Linked DNA regions of Lonchura striata. The protein of the gene in region 2 purifies or fractionates together with the protein of the main gene of each other region. This does not show direct contact. Links are inferred from orthologs where the notes say so. Each region holds a gene or a part of one and is shown on either strand. Other genes may lie near its edges.

Evidence for each region. Proteins that work in one complex are often made in the same cells at the same time.
Region 1: the proteins of CLK3 (region 2) and PSME3IP1 purify together in Homo sapiens (affinity purification with mass spectrometry; 3 studies listed by BioGRID and IntAct, counting the BioPlex papers as one, with this or other methods). This does not show direct contact. The link is inferred for Lonchura striata from reciprocal best matches to the Homo sapiens genes CLK3 and PSME3IP1.

What each region holds. Positions count from the first base shown.
Region 1 is NC_134615.1:17,136,638-17,143,957, reverse strand, and holds the start of PSME3IP1 (PSME3-interacting protein), read right to left. Parts: upstream 3,085-7,320; 5' UTR 2,989-3,084; intron 26-2,988; 5' UTR 10-25; coding exon 1-9. UniProt on the Homo sapiens protein: Promotes the association of the proteasome activator complex subunit PSME3 with the 20S proteasome and regulates its activity.
Region 2 is NC_134613.1:6,013,134-6,020,769, forward strand, and holds the start of CLK3 (dual specificity protein kinase CLK3), read right to left. Parts: upstream 3,040-7,636; 5' UTR 3,020-3,039; coding exon 2,871-3,019; intron 1-2,870. UniProt on the Homo sapiens protein: Dual specificity kinase acting on both serine/threonine and tyrosine-containing substrates. Phosphorylates serine- and arginine-rich (SR) proteins of the spliceosomal complex.

The sequences.
Region 1 (7,320 bases), on a different chromosome or scaffold from region 2:
CCCTTCCATTGTGGAATAGTGTCTCCTGAAAACACAACATGCAAAACATCAGGAGGCTGATTATGCTTTTCAGTGAGTGAAACATGATTAAATATCCTGAAACACACACCTGCTGCCCTTACAATAACTTCAGCTCTCTAAAGAACACTGCATAGTAAGCACTGACTGAGACACAAACTCACTGCATAACTGCTAAGACTAATAAGCATCATCTATTACTCCTTCTTTACTCTTTTTTTCATAATTATGTCTTTCCTGCTAGTTGTCTGCCTCAGGCTGCTTTTTTTTTTTTTAAGTAGTGTTCTAATGGATTTACTTTGCTGAAGTAAATACTTTTTAAAAATAAACACCCTCACCTACACTCTCATCCTTTTATTTTTGTTCCTCCACATCTGTTCTGAAGAGAGATAAAGTGATGGCAAAGCACTAAAATCCATGTTCTTTTTGCCCAAGCTATGAAAATTTGAGAAAGCTTGCCTGTTTTCAGTTGTTGAATGCATGTAGTTAGAAATGATTAACCAGAAATTACCAGCTGTTCTGGTTTTGGCTGGGACAGAGTTAAACTTCTTAGCAGCTCGTACAGCTCTGTGGTTTGGGCTTGGTGTGACAACATTGATAACAGCCTTGCAGTTTTAGCCTAAGTCAAGGACTCCCCAGTGTCTCAGCCTGCCCAGCAAGGAGCTACACGAGAAGTGTGAGAGAGCATGGCCAGGACAGCTGTCCTGAACTGGCCAAAGGGACATTGCACAGAACCATGGCCACAGAAAAATGTTTGTATCACTGTGCCCAGCATATAAACTGGGGGGATCTGGCTAGGAAGTCAACAGCTGAGTGAGAGAGGGAATTCCCCATGGCTAAAACAGAGCTGGGCTTAGAAAATGAGCATCACGTCCCCTGGAGAGCACAGTCCCTTCCCACACAGTGCAGCCACCCTCTGCTTCAAGATTTCAGTACCAGGTGCAGGGTGGAGATGCTCCAAGTAGACAGCCTAACAAGGAAACTTGTGGTTTTGACACCTGAAAGCCCAGGATGAAACAAACTGCTTCTCTGAGTCCTAGGTGTCTCCCTCCAGAATTATTTTGCCAGATCCATGCTACACCATGAAGCCCTAATGCCTGTTTTTGTTTCAAGCCTGTACATCAAAACAGTACACAGAAATACAACACAAGCACAACACACAGAGCTGTTCCTTTAAAGACATGCCAACATAACTTTTTTCTGCTTTATTTTCTCCCTGGTATAACTGCAGCAAGTTAAGGACTGCCCACAGTTCTGCCAAGTACTGTTCATTTGGGATCTCACCCTGCATTTCAGCACAGAAGAGATCCCAGAGCAGTTACTCTTCCAAGGAGGAAGGGATGCAGTAACCCAAGTGAGGGAAGAAACCTGTTTATCATCCTTCCTTCACACCACAAGGAATCAGTCCTGCAGGAAGTCCTGCAATCCTTACAAAAACTGATACTTTTGGGGGTACTGCTTGTAACAAAAATGAAAAAACTGAGGTCTCAGGAGAAATCCAGGTTAGAGCACTGGGCAAATATTTGTTACAGCAGGGTGCATTCTTAAGGTTAGTATTACTAAAAGAAGTTAAGACAAAAGAATTCTCTTAAGAGCTGGGGACAGGAAGGACAGATCCAAGGCTGGTCACTTTCTCTTTTTTTAAACTTTTCTTTATTTTTCAATATCCAACAAAAAAATCCACCCTAAGAGCCGAAGTCCACTTTCCAGAAAGCATGGAACACTTGCTCTTTGAGTGTCATTTCTGAAGGTGGTTCAAGATGGAAATCTACAGAGAAGATAAAAATTGAACCTCACAGCTGAATACAAGTCCTGATCACAAGGCCAGCTTTCCTATCCAAGTGCTGCATAAACAACATAAATTGTTTCTTCACTTGTGTAATCTCAACCTATATATTTAGAGAGGAAACAAAAGGTTCCAATATAATGGTGACAGAAAGTAATAAAAGCAAACTGAGAGAAAGGGATTCTTCAAGAACACAGCATCCTCTGGGGACTACAGCCTTCAGCAGCAAACCATCGTCAGTTCACTCAGACAATAGATTTTAAGATACACAAAGTAGATTAGGGTTTAATTATGGACTGAGAGGCAGCGGTGGTGCTTTGAACACCAGTGTCTGACACTGACAACCCCATCTTGGGGAAAAGAGATGAGGGGGGGGAAAAACCCATCTAGCAGCATCAGATTAAAGTTCACTTGCACTTAAAAAGTTTGGTAACCTCGCTGTATTGTTTGCCCTCTCCCATCTGAAGCTAACACACACAAAGCAGGCCCAACAAAAAACATGCACTTGGCAACTTTTCCCTATTTATCTGTGTTTTCATCTGGTGACTGTATTCTAGGGCTATGCTGTCACCGCAAAGGCAAAAGTTTGTCACAGCTGTAAACCACATGTTTTTATAACACCAGACGGTAACTTCCCCAGGATCAAAAAAAAAACCTCCCAAACGTCACAACTCTTGCTACCACTCAGGCTGAAACAGATGCAGAGCAGCGACGGTGCCCCGGGTACTCGAGTGCAGCTTCCAATCGATTCAGCGCTGTTTAAGTAACAAAGGCAACTTACCTGCCCGTCTCATCAACCCACCGCTGATGACGGCCGGGCAGCGCTCCCGCACCGCGTCAAGCGCGGCGCCGCGCCTGGAGCCGCCCGGAGCCGGAGGGGATCAATCGGCCCCGCCGGCCTGAGCCGGCCCCGGGCCCGCTCCCTGCGCTCCGCCGGACCTCGGTGCCGGGAGCCTGCCGCGCGTGCCGGGCTCGAGCTGCTCCGAGCCCTCACCGCGACCTCCTCTCCCCTCCGCACCTTCCCTCCAGCCCCTCGTCCCGGGAGCGGCCGCCGCGCTCGCGGGGCCCAGGCCCGAGCCTCTTCACCCCTGCACCCCAAGGGCCGGCGGCCCGGCTTCGGCCGCTATCCCGCGCCCGGGCGCTCCCTCCGGCCCCACCGCCGCGGGCCCGCCCCCGGCACGTACCGCGGCCCCTCACAGCGAGCGGCACCGGCGGGCCCGCAGCGCCGCCATTGACCCCGCTCCCCTCCGCCGGCCGCGCCGCCCCGCCCCTTCCGCCCGCCGCGGCCAACCGCGCGAGCGCTTCCTCCGCCGGCCCCGCCCCCGCGGCAGCCAATCCCCGCCGCTCCCACGGCGGGCAGGGCGGCGCGCGGAGAGGGCGGGGGTTGGCTGCGGGGATGACGTCACGGCGGCCCCGCGCCGCGATTGGGCGAAGCTGCGAGGCGGGGGCGGGGCCGAGGGCGGGGCGGGTCGCCCGGGAGACGGCGGGGGGCGGGCCCGGGGCGGGGCGGGCCCGGGGCGGGGCGGGCCCGGGGCGGGGCGGGCCCGGGGCGGGGCGGGCCCGGGGCGGGGCGGGGCCGTGAGGCGCCTCCATCTTTCGGCACAAAGGAGCGGCGGCAGCGCCGGGCCGGGGCGGAGGGCGCGGGGTCCGCGGCGGCCCCGCTGCGCTCCCGGCGGGGCTGCGCGGAGCTGAGGTGAGGCAGGGCGGGAGCGGCCCGGCTGGGGGCTGCCGAGGGGCGCGCATCGGGGTGAGGGGAAGGGACGGTGCCGGGCTGGGCGCCGGTGGCCCCGCCGGTGGCCCCATTGCCGGCCGTGCGCTAATGAGTGAAGGCACCGTGCTCAGCCTCCCCGCCCTCCGCTCCCCCAGGGGCCCCCGGCGTGGCTCCCGGTTGGGGTGGGAGCCGGGCCGGCGCAGCCCCCCGGCCCCAGGCTGCGGCCCGGGGTCCGTCGGCTCCGGTGGTTGGTGCAGGTCCCCCCAGGGATCGCCGGTGTCCCCCGCCCGCCTCGCCGGGGCCATCTGGGGGGCAAGCCGCGGTAAGAAGCGGGTGGCCAGGGCGCAGCCCCCGGGCTGGCTGCGCTCTCGCGGAGGCCCCGGAGCTGGGCAGGGCTGGCGTGGGGAGCCGGGCGCTCGCTGAAGGAAGCGCTAAGAGGTGAATGAACGGGGGTTCGGCGAGCTGGGGCGCCCCGAGCCCGGCGCTGCTCGGGGCCCGCAGGGGTTGGAGCTTCCTAACGGCGCCTGCCGGGTGCGCGGAGAGCTCCCGGTGCTCGTATGACTTGCAAAACACGGGCTCGGCTACAGCGGGTTTGGTGTGCGGGGGGCAAAATGACTCGGAACCGCGGAGTCACGGACCCGACGTGCTGCTCGGGCAGCTCGGAAACGCGGCGGGGCCGCTGAGCCCTTGAACATCGCTCTATGAATGTGAGCAGTCAGAATCCTGAAAGCTGTTTATGGCTCTCGGTGTCAAAATGTTTCTCCACAGCAAGTTTTCTGGCTTTACAGAGGAAATGTGAAGGTGTGGAGCGGGGCAAATGCACTCATTCACCTGGATCTTTTGTTTTAAGTTCTTGGGTGATGGAATAGGCAGCGGCACCTTTGCTACGGGTGCGGCAGCACCTCGGCTCTGCTCTCCCAATTCAGGGCTTATAAAGCAGGATTTTTTCACTGCTTGTATTATGCCCATATCGAGCATGAGTTTCTCTTTTAAGCCCTTTGATTCTGATCGCTGTTTCTATCTCGAAGGCCTTCATTAACCCCTTCTTTTTAGGCGCTGCTGGTTTTTTCTGCTGTGTAGCAGTATGCGTGTGCACTGTCTGTTCTAGGTTCAGTCGTAGTGTAGGTCCCAGGAATGACTGTAGTCACCTGAGTTTCATTTTCTGTTTCGTTATTGCAAACTCTGATCCCTGAGCCCAGAGTTCATTTTGGTGCTCAGCCAGTGTTATCAGTTTTTCTCACACTGTGAAACTTTGGTCCATGGAGAAACACAAACATACGAGCTGCCTTTTCTCTCCTAAATTAATTCAGCCTGCTGTTTTCTGAATGCTGGTGGTTTTGGTAGTTTTTTTGTTTTTTTTTCATTTTATGTCTGTATCAGTGTTTGTGTTCTTCAGTGTAAGAGGTTTTTTTCTACTTGGCACTAGCTTTGCCTCAGGGTTTTAGTTTTTCTGTTCTTTGTCTTGCATTGAATGCGTGTATTTGTTTTGGTGTTTTCCTTTCTCATGCTGGTCCTCAGTTCTGCTTTTCTACTAGTTTTCTGTACATCCATCACTGCTATGAAATTGTTGTGTGGAAACCTACATCCACTTGTTTACTGTGACTTCCCTTGTTTTCTTCCTGGTATTAAAATTTTTGCTGTTTTCTTGTTAAATTATACAGATTTTAAAGCAGTGCATGTTTTCATCACCTTTGAGCCACCTGAAATATTCCCTTGCATTTCATCTCCTCTTGGACTCCTGCACTTGACTGTGGATTTCCAGAGGACTGTGCATTCTCAAAACTTGTCATATTATTTTAAGAGTCTGTGGTGCGGTTAAATGTGGTTTTGTTTTGCATTTATCCAAATGCACAGAATTGATCTGTTCTTTGATCTAAATCTGGCCCATTCTTCTCTAAGCGCTTTTCCCTGTGTCTTTGTTCTCCACCGAAGTCCACTCAGCAAAATGGGCCCTTTCTCCTCCTGGCACCCATTCCTCTGTGCCTCCCTTTAGGACATTGCTGTTATTGCTTTGTGCCCCAATCTCTGCTGTTTGCTCCTATTTATAGGTCTGCTTGAACAGATTGTGAATTTCCTGTGGTGTGTTCTTTTTCAGATGAGTGAAGCACAATTGTAGTTGCATGATCACTTCTTGTCTCTTCCCTTTTCATCCAGACATTCTCTTGAGGTTCCTGCTAAATGAAAGTTTTCCGTTTCCCCTGTCCATCACTTGAGTAGGAAACTCCTCCAGGGTATTTTAGTGCTGTGCTTTGCATTCTGCACAACTCTTGTTTTAACTGTTGCTGATGCTGATTGTTTATTAGCTCAGCCTTGGTTGTTTACCCACTCTTAGGTTGCTGATAGAGCTAATCCAGCTTGTCCACACACCTCCCTTATCTTCAGCTGTGATACCAGTGTGTGTTTGCAGGAAGGTGGGCTTGTTGGTTTCCCTGAGGTCTTTAACTTTCCTTTTTATTTGCCTTCAGCCTCCTATACAGGGAGTTTCACTGCAATGCTTTGTGGTAGCCACTGTGGTATCTACTCTGTGGCCTCATAATTTGGTGATCACTCAGTAGGCTCTCTTGTTCTCTTACTGATACATTATTCTGTGCTTTTCTTAATGTTCTTTTTTTACCCTTAGAGGGACATGATGGTTTTCTGCACAACCCTGCAGTGCTCTCCCTTGGTGCATTATCAGTGTTTTCACATAGGAGGTCTTAGCTTGAAGTGCATTTCATTTGCTGTAAGTCTAATGGATAGGACTGAAATAGAATAGAATGTTTTGGTTCCCTCCTGTAAAGTAAGACATCCCTCATATTCTGCCCATCAGGTGGAATCAGTCAATTCTCCTCAAGCTTTTTGCTTGCTTGTTAAAATTAAGGAACAACAGGAAGATATTTATTAGTGTAAGCAATAATACGGCAGTGATTTGTCATAGAACACTTACTGGCCTGTGACTCTTCAGGTTTCTTCATTCAAATTCCCTTTCTTATTATCTCTCTTACTTGGCAATGTGCTGTGTTTGGAAATGTCCTCTGTTGGTCATGTAGCTATGGGCTGATATCCTCACAAAGTATAGTAAGGCTCATCATGTGCACTGTGTATTTCCCTGTCAACACAGAGGCAGCAACTTAAAATGCTGTCAGCTTGTAGGAAATTGAAGGCCGGCTAGTGTCATGATATTTGTCCTGTTCTGCTCCATTATCAATATGTTATGTTCAGAATTTCAAACTGGTTCTGTGGGTTTTTTTGCTCTATTGAACTTATGATTGCTCAGTAGAGTTTGAATTTATTCATTGCTTTAGAGCAGTGCAGGCAGTGATCTTACACTGAGATTCCTTGTCTTTAGGTATCTCGTGTGCTTTTTATCGCCTTGTGTCCTGACAATATATTTGATTTTCCTGGTCTGTCTGTGGTAACTGTAAAGCTGGCATTGCAGGGCAGTGACTGTGCCAGCAGGATCTTTATTTCCTTTTCTATTCTTCATTATGTTGCTGAGGTCTAATAAAAGTCAAATGTTCACACATGACTCAGGAGGTTGCGTGACTGACCAATGCATCATGTTCTCTCTTCAGAAGTGCTTGTAATTACCTGCCCTTGATCTGCCATTACTGTGACCAGGTTTGTGCTCTGGCAGCACAGCTCTGCCATGGGAACTTGGTGTGTTTGGTGGGCTTTGCCCATGCAGCAGGGATACCTGGCAGTCCGAAGTCTGGGATGAGGTGCTGCTCCTTGGTTTTTAATGCATGTTTATTAGATGGAGTTCAGTGAATAACCATGATCAGGAACAAGAAATCTATCTTTTTTCCTAATAAATCTCTCCCCC
Region 2 (7,636 bases):
TTTTGTATCCAATTCAGGGAAAGAATCGGGTCATTCTCTGGAGAAAAGCCCCTTTTCCTAACGCCCACCCTGACACAGCTCCCTGCTGTCCCCCTGGGTCCCATCAGCAGTCACCACGGAGAAATCCTCCTGCTCCCACTCCCTGTGCCAGAGGCTTCAAATCTTTCTGCACCTCAAACTCTGGCCAGCGAGGAGAAGCTCTGGAGGGAAAACAGTGAGGCATTCCCACATTTTAAGGTGTGGGGGGAAAACCACCCTCAGAGAGCTCCAGCTGGGCTGCCTGCCTTGCTGTGGATCCCACCTCTGGAGTGTCCAAGCTGGGTTGGACAGAGCTTGGAGCAGCCTGGGACAGTGGAAGGTGTCCCTGCCCATGGCAGGGGGTGGCACTGGGTGAGCTTAAGGTCCCTTCCAACCCCTCAACACTCCATGATTCCACCTGTGCCACGGCACACTGGTGTTTGTCACCATTCCTCCTCCCTCGAGGAGGTGTCTCATTAGTTCTTAACCAAACGAGGAGCAGCAGCAGGGCTCTGGTTGTCACCCCAGGGGCACAGGAGGTCCCAGGGCACCAAAGCCTCGGTGTGCACGCACAGAGCAGCCCCACGGATCATCAGCAAGAGGCAGAAGGGAAATCTGTCCCCAGGCTCCTGCCCCTCGAGCAACAACCTCCCAGGACACACGGCCAAACTGTGCATCAGGAGGGGCCAGGACCAAGCTCAGCGGTGCAGGCACCGACACACGGGTGACACACGCGAGGTTTTGGGCACCTCAGGGATGAGAGCAGCTCTCCCTGCTTCTGCCTCCAAAATACAAGTGCCTTCCCCACCAGACTGCACTGGAGGCTTGCTTCACACCCCCTTGAGAAAGGAGCTGTGTTTCAGGTAGAAGATGTTGCAATCTGAAATAAAAGCAGCGCTCTGGCTCCCCAGAGATAACCCTGGGCCAGGCTGGTGCCATCACCCAGCAACAGCTTTGCCAGCCGAGCCTTTCAGCCTGGGAATGGGAATTTCTGCTGTCTGCACCTCCCTGCCCCGTCAGCAACCAGGACACTGCTGGCAGCTCCATGGGGCACTTGTGGGGGCATCCCAGAGTGGGTCCCAACTCCAGACTGTGCCAGGGCAGCCGTGGCTCTCACTGACTGCTGAAGTACCCAGAACACAACCCCACAGCTCTGCCCAGCACCGGCCCAGACACTCCCTGGGGTGCAAACAGAAATAATGACCCGGAGCACTCAGGTCTCCTCAAAGAGGCTGAGACAGAAGAGACAAGGCTGTTTTCACCCAACCCTACTTTCATCCAAATCTGTTCCAAATGACCCATCAGATGGAAATAAAAAAGGAAAAGCTCGCTGCGCGCACCAGCTCTATTTCACAATCCACCTCCTTCACGTAAACAAAAGCCAGGCTGGGGAGAGAAATTAATCTGGGGAGCATTTGAGGAATTTAAAGATGAGCTCAGCTCCTGCCTGGCTGCACCTGCCCAGTCCAACCAGTGGAACCACAGCAGCCCCAGCAGCAGCAGTGCAGTGCAGCCGCTCCAGCCTCTGCTCCAGAACCTCCCTGAGGCCTCGTCCCGCTCCCAGCTCCCAGCCGTCCCCGTGGGAGCGCTGGAAAAGCGAGGAGCAAAGGTAAAACCCCACAGCAAGGCAGAGAGATCGGCCAGCAGCAGGATCCCTCAGCTGGGATCCTGTCTGAGGCGAGGGAGGAGCGCGGTGGCTTTAAATGTGATTTTAATCCTGGCAGGGATCCTGGCAGGACAGCCTGTAATGCAGCATGGAAACGTGATTCCAGCGCAGGCTGCTCCCTCCTTGACGCCGCGGCTTCGGGAGAACTTCAGCGCCGCAGGGAGAGCGCACACACAGACAGACAGACAGACAGACACAGACAGACAGACAGACAGACACACATACACACAGAGACAGACAGAGACAGACACACACAGAGACAGGCACACACACAGACACACACGGACAGACACAGACAGACACACACAGAGACAGGCACACACACAGACACACACGGACAGACACAGACACACACACACAGAGACAGGCACACACAGACATGCACAGACAGAAAGACACACACAGACACACACAGACAGACAGACAGACAGACATGCACACACAGACACAGGCAGACAGACACACAGACACACAGACAGACACACACACACAGAGACACACACACACAGACACACAGACACACACACACACATACACACAGAGACAGACAGACAGACAGAGACAGACACACACAGAGACAGGCACACACACAGACACACACGGACAGACACGCACAAACACACACACACATGCAGACATAGACAGACACAGACAGACACACACACAGAGATAGACACACACACAGACACACACAGACAGATACACACACACGCACACACACGCAGACACAGACAGACAGACACAGACACACACACACACACACACAGACACACAGGCACACACACACACACGCAGACACACACACACACACACACACAGGCACACACACACACAAGTAAACCCTTCCCTTCCATCCCCGGGATTTACAGCTGGTCCACAGCCAGGAGCCGAGCTCAGCACGGCAGTTTTGGGGGCAGCTCTGCACGGCAGTTTTAGGGTAAGCTCAGCACGGTGCTTTTAGGGGCAGCGCTCTCGGGGTCAGGGGCAGCGCTCTCGGGGTTCAGGGGCAGCTCAGGTCGGCAGTTTTGGGGGCAGCGCTCTCGGGGTTCAGGGGCAGCCCAGGTCGGCAGTTTTGGGGGGCAGCCCAGCACAGGGTTCAGGGGCAGCGCTCTCGGGGTTCAGGGGCAGCCCAGGTCGGCAGTTTTGGGGGGCAGCCCAGCACAGGGGTCAGGGGCAGCGCTCTCACCTCCTGGAGCGCGACCTGCGGGCCGCGTCCCGGCGGGGCGGGTACCGCAGCCGGGCCTCGTCCTCCCGGCTCCGCGAGCGCCGCCGCTTCCAGCGGTGCCCCGGCTCGCCGTCCTGCTCGGGGCACCGCAGCCTCCTGCAGTGATGCATCTGCGGGAACGGCGCGGCGCTCAGCCCCGGCCCGGCCCGGCCCGGCCCGGCCCGGCCCGGCCCGGCCGTTACCGGCCCCGCGCCCGCCGCCCCCGGCCTCACCGCCGCCACCGCGGCCGCGGCCCGGCCCGCGGCCCCGAGCGCCGCTTCCGCTTCCCGGCCGGGTCAGACCCGCCCCGCCGCGCCGGGCCGGGCCGTGCCGGGGCGGGCCGGGGCGGGCCGGGCCGGGCCGGGCCGGGCCGTGCCGGGCCTGCATCGCCGCCGCCCTCAGCCCCGGCACGGCTTCCTCCGCGGGACCGCTCACCGCGGCCAGCCCGCCCCGGCGCGGCTCGCTCAGCACGGCTTCCTCAGCATGGTCATCCTCACCATGGTCATCCTCAGCATGGTCATCCTCACCATGGTCATCCTCAGCACGGCCAGCCTCACCTCAGCACGGCTTCCTCACCATGGTCATCCTCAGCATGGCTTCCTCACCATGGTCATCCTCAGCATGGTCATCCTCACCATGGTCATCCTCAGCATGGTCATCCTCAGCATGGTCATCCTCACCATGGTCATCCTCAGCACGGCCAGCCTCACCTCAGCACGGCTTCCTCACCATGGTCATCCTCAGCATGGCTTCCTCACCATGGTCATCCTCAGCATGGTCATCCTCACCATGGTCATCCTCAGCATGGTCATCCTCAGCATGGTCATCCTCACCATGGTCATCCTCAGCACGGCCAGCCTCACCTCAGCACGGCTTCCTCACCATGGTCATCCTCAGCATGGCTTCCTCACCATGGTCATCCTCAGCATGGTCATCCTCACCATGGTCATCCTCAGCATGGTCATCCTCACCTCAGCCATCCTCACCTCAGCACGGCTTCCTCACCATGGTCATCCTCAGCATGGTCATCCTCACCATGGTCATCCTCAGCACGGCTTCCTCACCATGGTCATCCTCACCATGGCCATCCTCACCTCAGCCATCCTCACCTCAGCATGGCTTCCTCACCATGGTCATCCTCATCATGGTCATCCTCACCTCAGCACGGCCAGCCTCACCATGGTCATCCTCAGCATGGCCATCCTCACCATGGTCATCCTCACCATGGCCATCCTCACCTCAGCACGGCTTCCTCACCATGGCCAGCCCCACCTCAGCACGGCTTCCTCAGCATGGACATCTTCACCATGGTCATCCTCACCATGGTCATCCTCAGCATGGCCAGCCCCACCTCAGCATGGCTTCCTCACCATGGCCATCTTCACCTCAGCACAGCTTCCTCAGCATGGCCATCCTCACCATGGTCATCCTCACCTCAACACAGCTTCCTCACCATGGCCAGCCTCACCATGGTCATCCACAGCATGGCCAGCGCCACCTCAGCACGGCTTCCTTAGCATGGCCATCCTCACCATGGTCATCCTCACCATGATCATCCTCACCATGGCCAGCCTCACCTCAGCATGGCTTCCTCACCATGGTCATCCTCACCATGGCCGTCCTCACCATGGTCATCCTTACCACGGCCATCCTCACTATGGCCATTGCCTCAGCATGGCTTCCTGACCACGGCCAGCCTCACCATGGTCATCTTCACCTTGATCATCCTCACCATGGTCATCCATCATCACCACCATCCTCACCTTCAGCACAGCTTCCTTCCCGTGGGACTGCTCACCAAGGCCAGCCTCAGCATGGCCATCCATCACCACCACTATCCTCACCCTCAGCACGGCTTTCTCACCATGGCCATCCTCACCATGGTCATCCTCACCATGGTCATCCTCACCATGGTCATCCTCACCATGGCCATCCTCACCATGGCCAGCCTCACCCTCAGCACAGCTTCCTCACCATGGTCATCCTCACCATGGTCATCCTCACCATGTTCATCCTCGCCATGGCCATCCTCACCCTCAGCACCATGCCTTCCTCCCCGTGCTCTGACTCACTGTGGTGGTCAGGGCCATCCTCACCACAGCCTTCCTCTCCATGGCCATCCTCACCTTCCACACAGCCTTCCTCGCCAGGGTCTTCCTCCTCACAGTCTGCCTCACCATGACCTTCGTCTCCAGAGTCTGCCTTCACCATGGCCAGCCTCTCCCTCAGCATGGTCTTCCCTTCTTCATCTGCCTCACCGTGGTCTTCCTCATCACATCTTCCTCACCACAGGGCCTTCCTCGCCGTGGTCATCCTCACCGTGATGACCCCCACAGTGACAGCCTTGGCCACGGCCTTCCTCCCTGTGGTGACCCTCCCGTGGTCTTCTCTGTGGTGGCCCATGGACAGGAGAGAGAGCTCCACACACATGGTCATTCCCAACCCCTTCATTAATTTATCAAGCACTCATTAGGGCCAGCAATCAATTAAAAATGCCGATTGACTCCTTTATCACCAGGTGGGCTGGAAGGGGCAGGAGATGCCACCACCGTGGTGGCCACCTGGTCACCTCCTGAGCTGGTCACCTCCTGAGCTGGTCACTTCCTCAGCCATGGTCACCTCCTGAGCCTGGTCACCTCCTGAGCCTGGTCACCTCCTGAGCTGGTCACTTCCTCAGCCATGGTCACCTCCTGAGCCTGGTCACCTCCTGAGCCTGGTCACCTCACCTGCCAGCGAGGGAGGCTGGCAGCTCCCACGTGGGGCCTGGGGGGCTGCAGGACCCCTTGGAGCCCTGTGGAGCTGTGGGGAGAGCACAGAGCTCCTGAGGTTTCATCTGGCCCTCCCTTCTGGAGAGCAGGGACCTCCAAAGTCCTCAGCTCACATCCCAGAGAGCAAGGAGAGCCAGAGGTGACAACCGCCAGCAGGACAGAAAGCCACATGCTAATTTTGGACCATAAATAAATATATTTCAAGCTCTTTGGGGCCATCTTGGAGATCCCTAGATCTCTGTTATGCTCCCAGTGCTCGTTTCCATCCAGTGGTAGAATCACGGAGTGGTTTGGGTTGGAAGGAGCCCCAAAGATCATCTCATTCCAACCCTCCCCCGTGCTTGGAAGAGAGAGGTTTGAGAGGGAATAAGAGAATCTGCCAAGCAAAAGGAGGGGAAGCCGTTCCCGGTGCCCACCCGGGCACGTTCCGGTCCCCGTGCCCTACCGGGGGTGCCCGGCACGCGGGAGAGGCAGCCCAGGGCCTCTGCCCTGTGCAGCAGCACCTGGATGTGCCCGGCCGGAGCCTGGCGCTGCAGCAGGAGCTGGGCCAGGGGCCTGGGGGCCAGGAGAACACGCTGCAGCCCAGGCTGGGAGCACTGCAGTGCTGGGAGGCGAGGAGAGGGCAGGGGACACTGTGAGACCTCCTCCAGCCTCATCGTGGCCTTCCAGCTCCGAAATCATCGTGTCCTTCCAGCTCTGACCTCATCGTGTCCTTCCAGCTCCGAAATCATCGTGTCCTTCCAGCTCCGAAATCGTGTCCTTCCAGCTCCGACCTCATTGTGTCCTTCCAGCTCCGACCTCATCCAACCCTTCCAGCTCCAACCTCATTGTGTCCTTCCAGCTCCAACCTCATTGTGTCCTTCCAGCTCCAACCTCATCCAGTCCTTCCAGCTCCGACCTCATTGTGTCCTTCCAGCTCCAATCTCATTGTGTCCTTCCAGCTCCGAAATCATCGTGTCCTTGCAGCTCCGAAATCGTGTCCTTCCAGCTCCAACCTCATTGTGTCCTTCCAGCTCCAATCTCATTGTGTCCTTCCAGCTCCAAACTCGTGTCCTTCCAGCTCTGACCTCATTGTGTCCTTCCAGCTCCGACCTCATTGTGTCCTTCCAGCTCCGAAATCATTGTGTCCTTCCAGCTCCAAACTCGTGTCCTTCCAGCTCCGAAATCATTGTGACCTTCCAGCTCCAACCTCATAGTGCCCTTCCAGCTCCGAAATCATCGTGTCCTTCCAGCTCCGACCTCATTGTGTCCTTCCAGCTCCGACCTCATTGTGTCCTTCCAGCTCCAATCTCATTGTGTCCTTCCAGCTCCAACCTCATTGTGTCCTTCCAGCTCCGACCTCATCCAGCCCTTCCAGCTCCGACCTCATCCAGCCCTTCCAGCTCCAACCTCATCCAGCCCTTCCAGCTCCAACCTCATTGTGTCCTTCCAGCTCCAACCTCATCCAGCCCTTCCAGCTCCAACCTCATTGTGTCCTTCCAGCTCCGAAATCATCGTGTCCTTCCAGCTCCAGCCTCATCGTGTCCTTCCAGCTCCGAAATCGTGTCCTTCCAGCTCCAATCTCATTGTGTCCTTCCAGCTCCGACCTCATTGTGTCCTTCCAGCTCCAATCTCATTGTGTCCTTCCAGCTCCGAAATCATCGTGTCCTTCCAGCTCCGAAATCATCGTGTCCTTCCAGCTCCGAAATCGTGTCCTTCCAGCTCCAACCTCATCGTGTCCTTCCAGCTCCAACCTCACCCAGCCCTTCCAGCTCCGACCTCATCCAGCCCTTCCAGCTCCAACCTCATCCAGCCCTTCCAGCTCCATCCCTTCCAGCCCAGCCATGTTCCTCTCCCAGCAGGGTCCGGGCCGGGCAGGAAGGAGGCAGCCCGGTGGGTTTGGTGCCCAGCAGCGCTGCAGGGGTGCTGCCAGCTCTGTTTGCCCCTTCCACCCGCTGAGGATGAGGTGCCAAGTCCCGGCTGAGGGAGGCTCTGCCAGGG